2 linked regions of the Lepisosteus oculatus genome follow. The protein of the gene in region 1 purifies or fractionates together with the protein of each later gene. This does not show direct contact. Links are inferred from orthologs where the notes say so. Each region holds a gene or a part of one and is shown on either strand. Other genes may lie near its edges. The genes, in order: macroh2a1 and ezh2.

Region 1 (8,144 bases):
ATCCTATATTTGGGGTGCCCCTTCTTAATGTAGCGCAGCATTCTGCCCACAGGGAAAATAACCCCAGCCTTCGCAGACCGAGATGTCTTTGTAGTCTTCTTCTTTCCTCCTCGGCTAGACATAGTGCTGTTGCCAGTCTGAAATTGTAGGTCTGGAGAAGTGAAAAAAACTCAATGCCACGGAAACTAATGTTCTGTTTACTCTCCTCAACATGTCTGTACAGATATTTATTGAAATACCTAACAAGAGCATTTTAGTGGGGGTAAAAACACTTTCACAGTTTCCGATTTAGCAGTATAATTTGCCAGCAGCTTTATGATCCTGCAACTCACAACTAACAACCCACTGATGCTAAGCAGGTGTGAGTCCTGTCAGTACCTGGATGGATGACCTCCTGGCAAAGCTAAGGTTGCTGCTGGAAGTGGTGTTAGTGGTGTCAGTGGGGTCAGCAGGGCGCACTCACCCTAAAGTCTGTGTGAGCACTAATGCCCCAGTGTAGTGATGGGGACATAGCCCAAGGGCCCAGTCCTTTGTACGAGATGCAAACACCGAGGTCCGGACTCTCTGTGGTCATTAAAAATTCCTGGATGTTTCTCGAAATAAGTAGGGGTCTTACCCTTGCATCCTGTCCAAATTTTCCCTAGGCCTTTACAAATCGTGGCCTCCTAATAATCCCCATCTATGAATTGGCTTCATCACTCTGTTCTGCTCTCCACTGATAGCTGGTGTGTGGTGAGTATTCTGGCATACTATGCCTGCCATCCAGGTGATGGCTGCACATTGGTGGTGGTGGGGAGTCCCCATTACATGTAAAGGTCTTTTGAGTGAAGTCTCCAGAAAAGTGCTATATAATTGTAAGATTTTAAAAAATAAATTAATGAATTATTATGATGATCATTATTATGTGTTGCAGACATACAAGTATCAAACACATTTTTCACAAAAAAGTTCTGAATTTTGTTCAGCATCTTAAAAAAAGATAAATTTAAGTTTTTTCTCTATCACCTTTTCCAGCAATAGCACAAGTATGTAAAATCATAATATACTTGTAGAAATATGGCCTAAATGTAAAACACAAGCAGCGCTTTCATTTATTTAAGAGGTCACAGTCCTGTAAATTGTGAACATTTTAGTTTAATTATATTGACCTTTTTAAAATAGATCTCAGTTAAATAATTTAAAAGAGAATGCGGTGGTTTACTACACCGGTAACAATTAGATACTGCTGTAATAAAATATGAGTTTAATTCCTATATACTGTAGATCACATTCTGACTGATCTATGTCTTCCTATTACAGGCTTTACCTGTCTGGCTTTTGTTTAGATGCATTTTAATTCTCTACTTCCTCAGGGGCACACTTGCCTTTCAGGTACAGGTTGCTAGGCAACAGCTTCTTAACTCCCAAATGACTAGTCTTTTGTTTAAGTGCCTCATGTGGAGTTTACAAATTACACCACTAATTTTACAGAGTAACAATAGATTACAACACATTAAGTAAAAGAAAATATTTAAAATGTGTCATATAACAACAATTATGATATAATAATATATAATAGTGTATACTAAATATCTAATTAGCAATAAGAGATTTCTGGAGGGACATAAAAAATAAAAACATCTCACATATGAGTTATGAAAGCAACGTCTATAATGTATATGCTAACTCGTCAGCAACGCAAACATGTCACTTCAAATGTAAATCGTGGGTTACAGATTACTAAAAGGGATTACTTCTGTGAGCAGTAAAAATGTAAATAGATTACTCACAGCTACAATATTGTAGCTACATTTAATACATGCAATACTATAGCTACAGATATACTGATTAATAAGACAGGAATTAGTATTAAAACACATAACAATAAGAGAAAAATAGAGAGGAAAACAGCTGAATACCAGGTTTTATATAAACATCAGTGTAAGGTACTTAATTAAAATTCCAGGGTCCTCGGAGAAAAGCATTTTGTGCAACATGAAGTAGATAACTGCTGTTTTTGTGTGACAGAAATGTTTTGTATTCAGGTATCACTTTTTTCAAGCGTCTTCAATTCTGCATGGTTTTTGAATGATCAGAATCACTGAGTTAATACACTTTATATAAAACGTTGGTTACTTTATTTGCATTCTAGTCAATGTTTTATAACAAATAAAACGTTATTATACAATTCGAAGAGGCCAAATATTGGTACCACATTCTAAAGTTAATACAGAATTAAAAACGGTATTACTATTATATTATAAAACGGTAAACACTGATTTTTTTGTTACTGTCACTGTCACTGTCTTTGGCTGTAGCAAATATAAAAATGAACATCAGAAATACGAATGTGCAAAGTGTACTACATTAACCATAATATTCTGTAGACACGAACTATTTTCTCCCCTCAGGATGTATAGCTAAAGGGTATTAAAAGTAAACAGAAAACATACTGTTCTATATTACCACTTTCTCATTTTTCACGTTTTTCCATCTTATGATATAAAGTATAATTAATATATAGATATTTATATGTTGTTAAATATGCATATTACATAAAACAAAAAAAATGAAATACTGGAAATAATGTCGTGTTAGAAACTAGAATGGTTCGGTTTCCGGGTTTTGAAATGTTACCATAAAAGAAATATACAAAATATTACCAAACATTAATGACACAAATAATGAGACAACAATCTGTGTTATACATGACACATGTTTTCTCCCGCAAAGATATTACGCAGCAGTATGCTTTTTGTTTTCATCAGCGGGGCTGCGATTCTGCTAAACATAAATGTAGCCTATAAATACAATTCAAGTCACACGGCCCTGATCTACAAGTAAAATGGGTAGACTGGGTTAAAGACGTGACTGGTAAGGCAGATGATGTTTTTCCAGAAAAAAAATGCGGCGTTTGATTTTTCAGGGCGAAACAGGTGTAAATTAATATCAAAGAATGTCAGTTACTTACAGAATAAAGCACAGCAATATGTCTACTGTCTCCTGCAGCTCCAATAAAACAAGCCTGGGCAGTGTCTCCGATTCCCACAATCCATAGCGACCTATCTATGTAACTGCTCTCTAAAGAGGAAGCAGTTACTAGCATTTCGCTGTAATTAACCGGAATCTTGATAAATGCTCAACAGCTGGTGCCGGTATTAATGTTTTGATTGCAAGTAGACTCAACTAAACACTTTCTTTCATGTACAACATTATTTAATTTGAATTAGAAGTAAGTATACTCTGTTTTATTGACTTTCGTTTAACCTTAAAATCGGTCAACAAACGAGGCTTTTCGTTGAGCAGACATAAAAGCAGGTTTCAAAGTCTGCCTTTATTGATCACAACATAGTTATGTTTAAAATAAACGTGTTTCACTTGGGCAAATAGTCTGCATTGCTAAGCAACAAAAATAATATTCAGGTTAAGTGGGTATTTGCGTCTGTAAGTCTGTAAAGCCTTAACAAATGCATAACGAAATACTGTAGTAGGCAATTTAAATGCAAAATTAACCTTGAGATTGAAGCTAAACGTCTTACAATGTTCTTTTTAAAATACAGTGTCTTTCTTTATTAAATGGCGTTGTTGAAATATATTTTAGAATACCGGACTATTTATAATGTAACGCTTACGGCCGACAGGCGCTGTGTAAGAGCCGGCGTACCAGAGCGGGTGACGTCACCGCCCTTCCCTGTGATAGCAGGACCACAGCTACTGGGCTGTGGAGAGATCTCTCTTTGGCTCACGGGGCTAGGTCGCTGCAGAGAGACGCGGAAGTCCCGGGTTCGAGCCCCGGACGGTGCAGGGGCCGACCAGATGCGGCAAGGGCGCCCGCCGGAGCCCCCGTTGCGTTACATTGGTGTCAGAAGCGGGGCGGGATAGCCCTTCGCCGGGGACGGCGATTTAAGCGGGGGAGAGTGTAACGCTTACGGCCGACAGGCGCTGTGTAAGAGCCGGCGTACCAGAGCGGGTGACGTCACCGCCCTTCCCTGTGATAGCAGGACCACAGCTACTGGGCTGTGGAGAGATCTCTCTTTGGCTCACGGGGCTAGGTCGCTGCAGAGAGACGCGGAAGTCCCGGGTTCGAGCCCCGGACGGTGCAGGGGCCGACCAGATGCGGCAAGGGCGCCCGCCGGAGCCCCCGTTGCGTTACAATAATTTATTGGACACTATTATTGAACCGCATTTTTAATTAGCATTTACGCCAGCAGGTGGAGACACACCTACTGGTGCAGTAAGACTAAGAGGCAGCTACAGTATAAGCGTTTGTGTTTTCCAATGTCTTTTTTCAATCCTCGGATTGCATACGGTAGAGAAGGAAATATATTAAACAAATATGAATGGGATTTTACATTACAATTTTTACAATTTTACAATTATTTTATATGATAATTATTTATATGAAATATTTAAGATTTTAATAGCAATGAATTCAACTCGAATTTCTTTGCTAAACCCTGCTGTCTCCAAAGTACAATTTAAAAGTAAATCTCTGGAACAGATACGACAAACAGGCTTCCTGGAGTGGCACTGGAGTGGCACTATTTTCTATTTCTTGACAGCTGTTTTCATAAATTGTGTTTAATACTTCCTATTTGATGCCCACAGGGGATTTCAGAGAATTATGTTAGAAGTACATTGCTAAAGAGGAACTAAAAAATAGCCCATTACTTGTTACAAATTTTATTCATTGTAGTATACATTTTAAAAAGAGACAAAATTACAAAACAAAATCTTTAAAAAATCAGTGAGTTGTCTTATGTTTGCAAAATATTACATTTGATTTTTGGTAAATTGGTCAAACTCACCTCACAATTCTAAGATATATTTTGTAATATCACAAATAATTTGTCAGAAAAGCCAGACATCCCAAACAGTTAATGTAAAAAGGAGATGGACTGAAAATCAAATAAAAGGTTTTAATAAACTTTTTGAGTAAGCATGATAATGAATTTCCATTCTGCCTTAAGACGTGATCGCTCAATTCATTAAATGGCTGATCATTTGCATCATTTGCTTGATCATTTGAAAAGAATATTTTCAATATTAAATGAAAAGATTTAATGGGGAATGAGTGAAGTTATAAAGTTTTATAACCATGATACAGTCTAAATTTGTCTACTCTCTAGGGGTTTCAGGTACAGAAATACAATCCTAACCGTACCCTTACACATATTGATTTATCCAATACAGGGGGAGCCAGAAAGCAACAGGTGCAAGGCACGATATAACTTGAATGGGACAGCAGCACATCATGGGGCACACACAGACACAGACAAACCAGGGCCAGCTCTCCCAGAAGCAAATTAACCTAGCAGTGTATCATTGGGCTGTGGGAGGAAACCCACACAAACACAGGGAGAACAAAAACCCGCTGACAGATTTGACTTTTCCAGTTTTGCTCTGATTCCTTGTGAATTTTCATCTCACTCCACTGGGAAGATAACACAGACCACAAACCTTTTAACTTAATATTAATAAGAGATACACTGACAAAATCTGGGAATAAAAGAACTTTGAAGAGTTTAGGGCAGCACAGTTGTTAGAATTGCTGCTTCACAGTTCTGGGAGGACATCCGCACAAACGTGGGGAAAACATAGAAACTCTACACAGATAGCACTCAAGGTGCAGAATTGATTCCAAGGCCCCAGCACTTCAAGACAGCAATGCTACCCACCATGTGACACCATTTGGCATTATTGACAAGATCTGAAGCCCCTCATCATAATCAGCTTAAGCTAGAGAACAGATACAACTTATGTGTACCCTCCACTGTACAACACAGGTTCAAGCAAGGAGCTGTGTCAGTGTATGAGCTCTAAAGGAACAAGTAGAAGATAATTCAAAGCTGGAAGTAGAATTATAAACAACAATACTGAACCTTTCTTCTTTCATTCTACCTGCCTGTTTATTTATGCTGAGCAACAGTTGACCAGCAACGCTACATTTCTTATTATCTTATTCCTGTTGGCTCTCTGAGCCTTGTTATACAGTAGGTGTTATATTGAATTCCAAGAAGAAGCTTGAGCTATAATGGCTGTAAAGAATCCTATGAACAATAAGACAATTCAGCATTTTGGTTGAATTATTTAAAACTACAGACATTTCTACAAAAAACTACAAAAATACAAGAAAACATTAATAAGAAACCTGATTAAGATATAGCTTGCTAAATATAATTACAGCATGATATTGTTTTATCTCTTATAAGATAGTTTACATATTTTACTCATACAAATAAAGATACACTGTATGGAGGTTATGAATTTAGAAAAACTATTTTAAAATGTGTTGCTCTTAATTATGTATAATGTATGTACATTATTTGGCTTATTTATGTAAATGTATTAATGAAATGTCACAGAATGTATTGTTTCATTCTTAAATCAGATTTAGTAAACTCTTAATGAAAATATTATTGTTATTAATAATAATAGTAATAATAATCACAATTTATGAATGTATAAAATATTAGAAAATGTATTTAATGACCTATAGTTATATACAGTAGCTATTATTTATTAAATGAAAATTGTATGCATTGTATAATAGAGTTTATTTAAATTTTTAAAAAGAATATTTTTCTCTCACAGCTATAATATTTGTTTTTGGAACTCAGAAAAGGTATTATTTACAGTTTCATGCCCCAGTAAATATTTTGGATCCCATGCCTGTTACTACATACATTCAGAACTATGTTACTAAAGTAGAGCAGTACAGTGGTTAGCATTGCTGTCTCATGGCGCAAGGCTCTATTCTGGACTTGGGGTGCTATCTGTATGGAATGTATTTGCTCTCCACATTTGGGTTTCCTCTGGCTCCACTGTGACCCCAAAATGGAAGAAGCGATTACAAAGTAAATGAATGAAAATAAAGGCTTTAGTAACTTTTATGGGGTTGATCCTTTTGACAGTGATGTTTATGTTCACTTTTTTCATAGACAGAATTATTCGATTTCTGGAGTTTGCTTCTTTCTACTAAAGTCTTGCTGTTTTTCACTAGCACTAAGTAGAAGAAGTTTCTATGAGATATTTCCATTACCTTTCTTAAAACTGAGTTATTTAATGGAAATTGTAGCTCAAAGGTGACAAATGTATTGAAGCCAAGTACTATCAGTAGGTATCACTTTCTTCATTGTACCTAAACTTCTAAACTTCTATGTCCCTAATTGTTTTGTTAACATGTGCTGTTGTTCTCTTTTTATAACATCCTATGAACTGTCAAATGTTGAAATATGAGTACTGGGCTGGTCTTAGCACATTTCTTTAAGTGTTCTTCAAAGTGATTTAAAGTAATCAATTTTATGTCACTACACTTCAGTATGGATGGCTATTCTCTTTTTAGATGAGTACTCTTCCTGCTTTCACTTATTGGAATCCCAGCAAATGCCATTGTTGTGGCAACATCTACACATGCCGACATGTGTGGCGTCCAGATCAGTCCAGTGGAGAAGGACAATCTTGCTTGGCATTGGTTAATGTTATCTTGATTGTGAGTCTGGGGATCCCATATTGCCCAGACTTTACCTATATTTGGAGAAACCAGTGCACTTTTCAGTGATCCTGCCTGCAAATGTTTAATCTACTTTTACAGGGTTTCCAGAGCAGTGGAAACCAGTTTAAATCCTCAGCTGCTTTAAATTCTTGAAAATCATTCCACCAATCTATGGATTGTCCAGCTACAAAAATAAAATATCGGCCATTTTGATGGAACTCAAAATTCTTCAGAAAGAGCAGAGCAGTCAAGACAGTTGTTGCTCTGGAGTCACTTTTCATCTTATTCTTTGGCCTGGAGAACACCTTTTTGTTGTACCCCTTAACAGGCAGCACAATATATTTTTTTCTCTGATACGACCAGCAGCCATATCACCCTGCAACTCACACCTGGCAACCCACTGAAGCTCAGCATGTGTGAGCCTGGTCAGTACCTGGATGGGAGACCTCCTGGGAAAAACTAAGGTTGCTGCTGGAAGAGGTGTTAGTGGGGCCAGCAGGGGGCGCTCACCCTGCGGCTCATGTGTGTCCTAATGCCCCAGTATAGTGACGGGGACACTATACTGTAAACAGGCGCCGTCCTTCAGATGAGACGTAAAACCGAGGTCCTGACTCTCTGTGGTCATTAAAAATCCCAGGGCGTTTCTCAAAAAGAGTAGGGGTGTAACCCC
Region 2 (8,135 bases), on another chromosome or scaffold:
TAAACACATTCTTTATCCAAATCAGATCCAACAAAATATTAAATAATATCAAAATCTTTCAATTTAACATTTACCTTAAAATCTTGAACAATAACATTTTGCAGATCTACCCAAAACAGTTCTGTTTATATGCAGTAAACAAATGTAGTAACAAAGAATCCGTCTCATTACTACAAAGTACACATAAGTCATCTTGTTCATGTTTAATTCTAGGAAGTACAACTTTTGTTTGGCGTTTACTGGGACCGTACTTGTGAAGGATATCACGGTACCATCCTCAGAGAGACTGGATCGAGAAATGCAGTTTAAAACGAACGGGTGCGATTGTGAAATGACACGGGGGATTCTACTTTAAAACGACTGCCCAGAAAAGCATGGTATTGTCATTTGTTGACAGGAGGAGGCGGGTGGGGAAGCACTTTTTTTTTACAAAAAATTAGCAAAAGACCAGTCAAATTGCGTAGTGGGCGGGAAAGGGAAACAAACGAGGAGTTAAGTTAACTGACTGTGAGAAATATCAATTGCGATAACCCACTACAATCGGACCAGTCAACTACACCATCCGCTTGTATTCCTAAATAAACCCCAAATGCTAAGTATTCGTTCGATCTAGGGCTATACTTCAGACTGTATTAAAAACATCATGGCACTAAGAATCACTTAATTTATCCTACAGATAGATGTAGTGCTCAGTGCAAGCGAAGATAAAAATGATAGCGCTACACACCGAAGACAAAGCTCGTTTTTGTCCCCCCATCCGTAAGCCTCGTACTGAAGCATCACGGGATATGCAAATCGTACGCAACTGTATTACAGGCACACGCGGCCGCGCAACTAGACAACTCGAGACCAGCAGAAGAGAAGACGGACGATTATTGGGGGGAAGTCAATGACAAATTAGCCCGTCCAAATCGCATTGTGCACAGATGACCTCCCTCCTCCAGCATTTGTGCATAAAACCATTGCACTCGATAATGAACCAATCCATCAACCGGCTGCATTTTTCCAAAATGAGACAATTTATTGTGAAAATAAAAAGTAACAAATCATAATAAATAATGAAGATGTTATTAACGTTATTACTTTTGCTTTGATCTCCACACCTTTCAGTCCTACTTTTTCTGTACATATAATCGCAAAGCGAGCTGCCAGTTTTACAGCTGCAATACCGAGACCTGACCGCTGGGGGGAGAGAACGGTTTGAAAAAAAATAATTTCAGCGCCGATGAGGACAAAATACTGTTAAAAATGAAATTAGTTTATTTTTTTCCGTGCTACTGCGTGATTTACCCCGCAACTGAAAAATCCATGCAAAACAAGGAAATACTTTTCATACTCGTTCCAGCATTTTTTTTTATATTACGCTCAATGCACACGTGTTAGCCATTCAGAAATGAATGCAATATTATACAGAAAGTCACGCTTTAAACGATAGCAACATGTGCTGTAAATAACGGATCACGCCAATTACATTTCTGAACATTCCTTGAAAATGGAAGACATTTTAATGAAAAGTTAAATTCGGTACCCAAAGTGAGAGAGTATGTGAACGTACCATCTTTTTATTTTGTGAACGCAATCGTTTCAGCACAGCATTGCAGCCCGAGCTGCCTTTGATCAAGTAAGTGCAAGACACCAATTAGCTTAAAAGCACGTGTTCTGCACAGACCTTTGCAATCGACGTAACAATTGTAATTTTTTTTCCATGTATAAAGAATTTACAAATACAAGTACAACTCAAGGAGCAATTGTAATTGACCAATCAGGAGCGCGGAGAGTGACCAAGGGCAGCAGCAGGTACCTGAACTGTCGTGATCACGGTATCGTTATCCTGTAACACATCTCAGGCAATTAATCGTCTTTACTGGGAGGTTATCTGTTCTGCATTAAACAAAAAAAAAACACGATTAAACGCAACACGAGCTAAGACATCTCCACGACCGCCGCCTTCCACGCGGAGAGACTTCAAAGCGGCTCGGCGGGCGGCCCACGCGTGGCGTGGCGTGGAAAAAATTCACATGTGACGCACTGCGAGGCGTTCCGGGTTCTAGCAGCGGTGAAACACGAGGAGAGAGCAGGACGCGCACACCCCGTCAATGAGGAATGAAATGCTAAGGGTCATTAATAACCCTTTTCCCTCCCTCTCCTGTACTCCCTAGGCGGTGCTCCGCAGCGTGGGTGTCTTACGACACGTAAGAGACAGAATATCAAAATAGATACAGCAAATAGGCACTTCACAGCAAGAGGAATTCACGACGCTAAGGGCTGAAGCAGTTGCAAAGTCTGGGAGCAGGTCCTGAAGATGATGAGGAAGACTACAGCTCGTCCGTCTGGGAGAAGAGGCCCGTGCGGGAGAGCTTCGTGAAGTGGGAAAGCTGTCGCGCCGGGACAGTCCCACTCCCTCGCCCTGTGGCGGTACGAGTAGTCGGTGGCGGTGGATGGCCACGACGCCTCTCTGTGCCTTGTCTTGCCCTTCGCTGTCCACAGAGCATTGCAGCAGTATAGTGTCCCATCACACTGTACTGGGGCATCAGGACCCACGCAAACCGCAGGGTGAGAGCGCCCCCCGCTGGCCCCACTCACACCTCTTCCAGCAGCAGCTGGGGGTCTCCCGTCCGGGTACCGGCCAGGCTCACACCTGCTGGGCTCCAGGGGCCTGCCAGCAGGGAGCTGTAGTAAGATAGCAGCAGAAAATTAGCGATTTCATTGTGGATGATAATTAGACTTTACTCGGTATTTGTTCCGGTGGCATATTTCAAATAGATTCAAATCTAAAAATATCTTTGCACAGTTTTGATCACGGGTAGATATTTATTTCGACTCTAGAGTAGTTTTGGGAGGGTGGGGGGGATCTATCAGCTGTTCATTTCCATTAAATTTGAAGATTTTCTCTGGTTTCGAGAGGAAACCCAGTCCACCCCGAAGGGAGTTAGCGAGCTGTTCCCTCGTGCTTTTTTTTTTTTTTCCTCCGTGGGTCTCCATGGGCAGACATTCCCTCTGCTGTCTCCTTCCTTGTATCTCATACGCGCACGGCTCCGCCGACCCGGCAAGTCCGGTCTGGCCGGTGTCCCCCGTCCGGCCCGCCAAGCCCCATTCAAAGGAGAAGGCGGGGGAGGGCCGACCGCCAGCCGGCCAATCACGGCGCGAGTGGCCCGCGGCCGGAGACCAATGCCAGGAGAGGGAGGGATCCGGTGAGACCCTGTCAGCCAATCGGAGAGCAGCTGAGCTCGATTTCAGGCAGGCGTGGGAGAGGGCGACTTTGTAGCGTGTTGTCAGACAGCTCCGGCAAATCACAGGGCGCGGAGTCTTGGCGAGACTGTAGAAACAACTACCCCTTTCTCACATAGAGTAATATAACCCCTACCCTTCAATATGGCAAAAGATAATAACTGTTGTGAGCCCGGACTTGCCTTGAGAGGCACTCCATCCAAACATCGACACTTGTCGTTTTCCGATGGCATGACAATGACATGTTTGAACCTACCATCTCTCTGTGCGCCGGTATGGATCTTAAAGTACCCTAAAATTAACTCATTAAATTAAATTAATTTAAAAAATGAAAGAAGAACACGCGATTCACAGAACGTCTCTGCCCCTGCTCTGTAAAGTCACTCAGGCGGGGCTTGAAGTCTCGTACTTGTTCAGTCGAAATACCTCAGGTCCCTCGGCGATGAAGAGCTCTTTCTGCACATGGCGGTGTCTAACGATGGTTAAAGAACGTGACTTCGAGGAGTTCAAATCTGAAATCCGGGAATGGGAGTCAAAAATGATGAAAACAGACCTCGGTAACGTCGTGACGTAGCGAGGCAGCCTGTCGGCACAGGACAAAAAGAAGAAAATATTTGCTTTGTTTTCACTTTTAAAAAAAAGTCAAATTTAGAGGTCAAGAGCTCAGTATTGGTAGGAAAGTGGTAATTTGTTCGGATACAAACGCCTCCCACTAAGGTAGAAAAATGATTATGTGAGAACAAACCTTTAGACCACTCCAATTGAGACAGTTGCAGGACATCCACCGCTATGTGTATTTGTGCAAGCTGACTGAATATTTATTTCCAAACTTATGTCGTATATCTACTTCATTTAATGTATTTTTGAGATAGAGTAGTGTTGATGACAACTGAGCTGTTTGATCTACTATTTCAAATCGTCTCTAATTCACGGGTAAAAGTCCAGAAGAGGTGTGAGTTGTCTCTACATGCTGTGTACAGGAAGGGCAGAAAGCAGTTTCTCATAATTATTGAGCCCGATCAGTTTGGATATTTAAATTATATTTAGGCTAATATTCATTAGAGCCTACTGGATGGGGTGATCCTCAGACCGTGAAAAGTGCGTTCAACTGTTTTTCACGAGTTTCCTTTGATTAAACTAGTGTCTTCAAGAGGGATTTTACAGCAGGTAAGATACTAATTAAAGCGAGAAAATAATGCGCCGGGGACAGAATATAAACAAAGACCTTTCATTTTGTGAAGTATAATTCCATTCTTTTTTCCCCTCAACCTGCTTTAAAGTAGTCCTTTGGATATTGATTCCAGTGACAAAGGTTAATGCACAACAATCATTAGAAAACGACTATCTTCTGTCAAAACACTCTACTATTCCGGTACTATAACTGAAGGACATTTAAAAAAAAAAAAGGTCCGTGCTTTCCAGTGAATAAAATAAAGCGACACGTATCTATGTAAGTGACATTATAAGTTATTTCGTCAACAGGCGTCAGCTCTGCATAACTACAGGGCTGAGGCGGATATAGTTATAGCTCCACATCTCAAGAGGTGTAGTCACACAACTTTTTATTAGGAACAAGTAATAGGTTTATTCCATGCTGAAAAAAAGAAGAAAGAGAACACAACGTTTCGGCCGTGGAGCTTTCTTCAGGTTTTTTTTTTTTTTAGTGGTTGGGGTGAAATGAGCTGTACATGAGGTAGCTGTGTGAATCCGTGGGTTTGTATTAAACTGAAGTGGACAGTCGGGGATAGTCGATGGAGAAGTTGATGTCTAGAAACGGAAGAGCAGTGGAAGATATGTTAACCGTATATTTGAGGGACGGGTGGAAGTTGGTGAAACTTTTTATTAGCTGTGAAAGTGACTGAACTAGGAAAGAGCGAAAGAGACAAAAGCGTTTTTATATCCACCCCCATTCCTTGACACGGCTCTTCCACATCCTGGGAGACGTATATAATACGCTTAGACGTTTCCGATTTAATAGTAAAAAATATTTTAATCTGCTCAGAGCAGAACAGCCCCCCCCAATTGGCCATTTCTCTGCAATCCAAAGATGCACCACAAATAAACCAGCTGGAACGCGTCGCTTTGCGTATGCCACGGCGTAGAACACGAAGAGGCTGTCGATTACATTAGCATGACTGTTCGTTTTTGTTTTTTGAGTGAAAACAAAAAATTAAGCATCGCAACCGCCGACCTCAACAGCACTCCACCGAACAAGCCCAGGAACAAAGGCAACTTCTCCACATGTCCCCGCAGGCGGGGCCCCCTGCCGCACAGCCGCCGCTGATTGGCCAGCTCCCCGGCGGCAGCGGGCCATTCGGATGCCCCGATACTGGGGGGGCTGAGTGTCCTCCTCGCTGATTGGCGGCCGCGTTTGGCGCTCGCCGAGGCCCCGGTCTGGCGGAGCGAGGGGCGGACAGCGAGCGAGCAGAGGCGACGGGCGGTGAGCGGAGAGCTGCCGGAGCGGAAATCGCCGTGCGACGAGGGGACTCCGTGCCGAGGCGAAGGCGACCGAGTGCCGGCCGCAGCGGAGCGGCCCTGCCGAGCCAGGGAGGGGGGGGGCGCCCAGCGAGCGGGAAAGGAGGAAGGAGCCGCCGGGCCCCGGCAGCGCCTCTTTGTGTGAGCCGTTTACCCGGCGCCCCTCGGTCGGTCCCGGAGCCACGGGAGGGTCGTCGCCTCGGTACCCCGGTGGCTGTGGACCAGGAGTCGAGTCGGCTCTTCGACAGGTGAGAGGGGTTTTTTTATGTGTGTGTGTGGGGGGGGGGTTTGTTTCCATTTTGTCGTTTTTCCATTCACACGACTAACCCCCCCGCTCTCTCTCTCTCTCTCCCCCCTCCTCCTCCTCCTCCTCCTCTCTCTCTCTTTCTCCCGGCTCGGCTGGCTGGCGGAAAAGGGAGAAGAAGAAACGGCTTTCTTTTTGTTTCGGGCGGGCTGGAGTGCAGACCTGTGTGTGTGGGGGGGTCGGAGCGGTGAAGACTTTTTTGTTGTTGTTTTGTTGTTGTCGTCGAGAGAGTCCGCACGGCCGCTGTCCGGGTGAGCTTGAGCCGGCGGTACCGGGGCGGAAGTTTTGCGCCGTGCGGTTCCCTCCACCGCGCAGTGTGGGATCCGGGTGGGAGAGTCGTGCGTGGCTCCTTCGCCCGGTGTTGTCTCCCACGGGGTGTGTGTGTGTGTCTGCCCCCTCTCCGGCGCCGGCGGTGTCGCCTCGGGTCCTCTCTGAGCGCCGTGCCGTGTCGGTGAAGTCCGCTGTCCCGGTATTGACCTCGGCGAGGCGGCGCGTCGTGAGAGCCCGTTGTCTCTACCTGTGTGTGGTGTCCCGGGCTGGCGAGGGCTCCGCGACAGCACGTCAGTGCACACGGGTTTTTTTTATTATTATTATTTTAATCTGATCCCCTGCTTTGTGTTGCTGTTAGATTTTGTTTTGTTTTCTTTTTTAAAGAATTGGTCCGCCGGGGGTTTTAGGAATAGGTGAGTGGAGGTAGGGTTTGCACTGGACCACTTTTGCTTTGCTTTTCGATGTCCTGGGGGGCGCTGAGCGTCCCGGCGAGTTGGTTTTCGATGGCTGGCAGCGAGCAGCCCCATGTGTGCGGAGCAGCCCCATGTGGGGAAGCGTGCGGAGCTGTTCCCATGTTCCTCCATCAGAAGGAACTGGTCGTGACCTCGGGTCATCGGGGCGAATGTGGAAGGCTTGGCTTGAGACTACCAGGTGCTCTTTTTTTCACTCTTTCATCCTCTTCAGTTTTTTTTTTAAGGAGAATGGTCGTCTGATAGTCTGCCTGCAGTGTAAATCTGATGTGGTGTCATTTAGGTTGTGGTGGCCTGGGTTTAAGTGTAAAAAAAAATGTGAACTGTTTTTTTAAGTTGTGAATAGATATGTTTTTAAGAATGTATCTGTGAATTCATAAACGTACCTCAGTTCAGAAATTATTCGAAGGTAAGGTACTGTCTCATTGTTTCCACACGCCAGCAGTACTGGATGAATTTGTACACAGAAGGTGAGCACTACGAGTGAGCGGCCAGCGTGGCTGTCTTGGTGTCAGGGGTGTCCTGGTCCTGGAGGCGTGTGCTGTCATTCAGACCTCAATTACCACCTGATTGGCCCAACATCCCCGCCACTCCCAGCTCTGCAGAGACCTGGAGAGTGAGACAGCGGCCCTGCCGGACCAGGAACTCATGCTCTTGTCGCCTCAGGAGGGCGAGGGGTCGCGCGGTTCAGAGCTCTGAGGCTCTGCGCGGCGCTGAAGACTGACACCTCCTTACGTGTCTTTCTTGAGCCCCGAATGGTTACCATTTGATGGGTCCCTGACTGAAATCGGCCGCACAGCCGTGCGGGACGGTCCTGGCTGTTCCCCTGGGCTTGACGGGCTCCGGGACCGCGCTGCCCGCCTCTCTGAAGGGTTCTGGTCCTGGTTCTGGTCCCGCAGCGGTGATGTGGTGCGCAGGCCTGCTGTCCCGGCTGCTTGTTGTAGGTGGGTGGGGAGGAGTCGGGGCTGGCGGGGCCTTTCTTGTTTTCTGGTCAGGTTCCAGCCAGCCACCCGTCGGGCTTGCAGCAGCGTCCCCCCTGGGGACAGGGGTCTCCCCTCCCTCTTTCTGAGAAGGAAGCGGTGCAGCCGGAGTGAGCCGAGAAGGGGAATTATGTTTGTGATCAGTCGCACCCCAGCTGTGTTCTCGGGTATGGCTCATGTTTAATGTGAAAGTGCGGTGCCTTAGAAGCCGACGATAAGGACATGTAGAAGAAATGGGGGTCGATGGAAATTGCTCGTCTTTGCACCGCATGTAGTAATTGAAATGCTTTGTCCTTAAGAATGTAAGGAGGTAATAGTACATACAGGCTGTAGCAGCAAGCAAGGTAGCTTTTTACTTGATCAGTATGACCCTGGAAAGGCACAGACTGTTCAGTTACCTGAGGCAGT

The links.
Region 2: the proteins of macroh2a1 (region 1) and ezh2 purify together in Homo sapiens (affinity purification with mass spectrometry; 3 studies listed by BioGRID and IntAct, with this or other methods). This does not show direct contact. The link is inferred for Lepisosteus oculatus from reciprocal best matches to the Homo sapiens genes MACROH2A1 and EZH2.

The regions. Positions count from the first base shown.
Region 1 is NC_090706.1:23,557,700-23,565,843, reverse strand, and holds the start of macroh2a1 (core histone macro-H2A.1), read right to left. Parts: upstream 3,101-8,144; 5' UTR 3,086-3,100; coding exon 2,951-3,085; intron 152-2,950; exon of another isoform or gene 138-151; coding exon 1-137. UniProt on the Homo sapiens protein: Variant histone H2A which replaces conventional H2A in a subset of nucleosomes where it represses transcription. Nucleosomes wrap and compact DNA into chromatin, limiting DNA accessibility to the cellular machineries which require DNA as a template.
Region 2 is NC_090701.1:2,908,196-2,916,330, reverse strand, and holds the start of ezh2 (histone-lysine N-methyltransferase EZH2), read left to right. Parts: upstream 1-4,886; 5' UTR 4,887-5,951; intron 5,952-6,200; exon of another isoform or gene 6,201-6,258; intron 6,259-8,135. UniProt on the Homo sapiens protein: Polycomb group (PcG) protein. Catalytic subunit of the PRC2/EED-EZH2 complex, which methylates 'Lys-9' (H3K9me) and 'Lys-27' (H3K27me) of histone H3, leading to transcriptional repression of the affected target gene.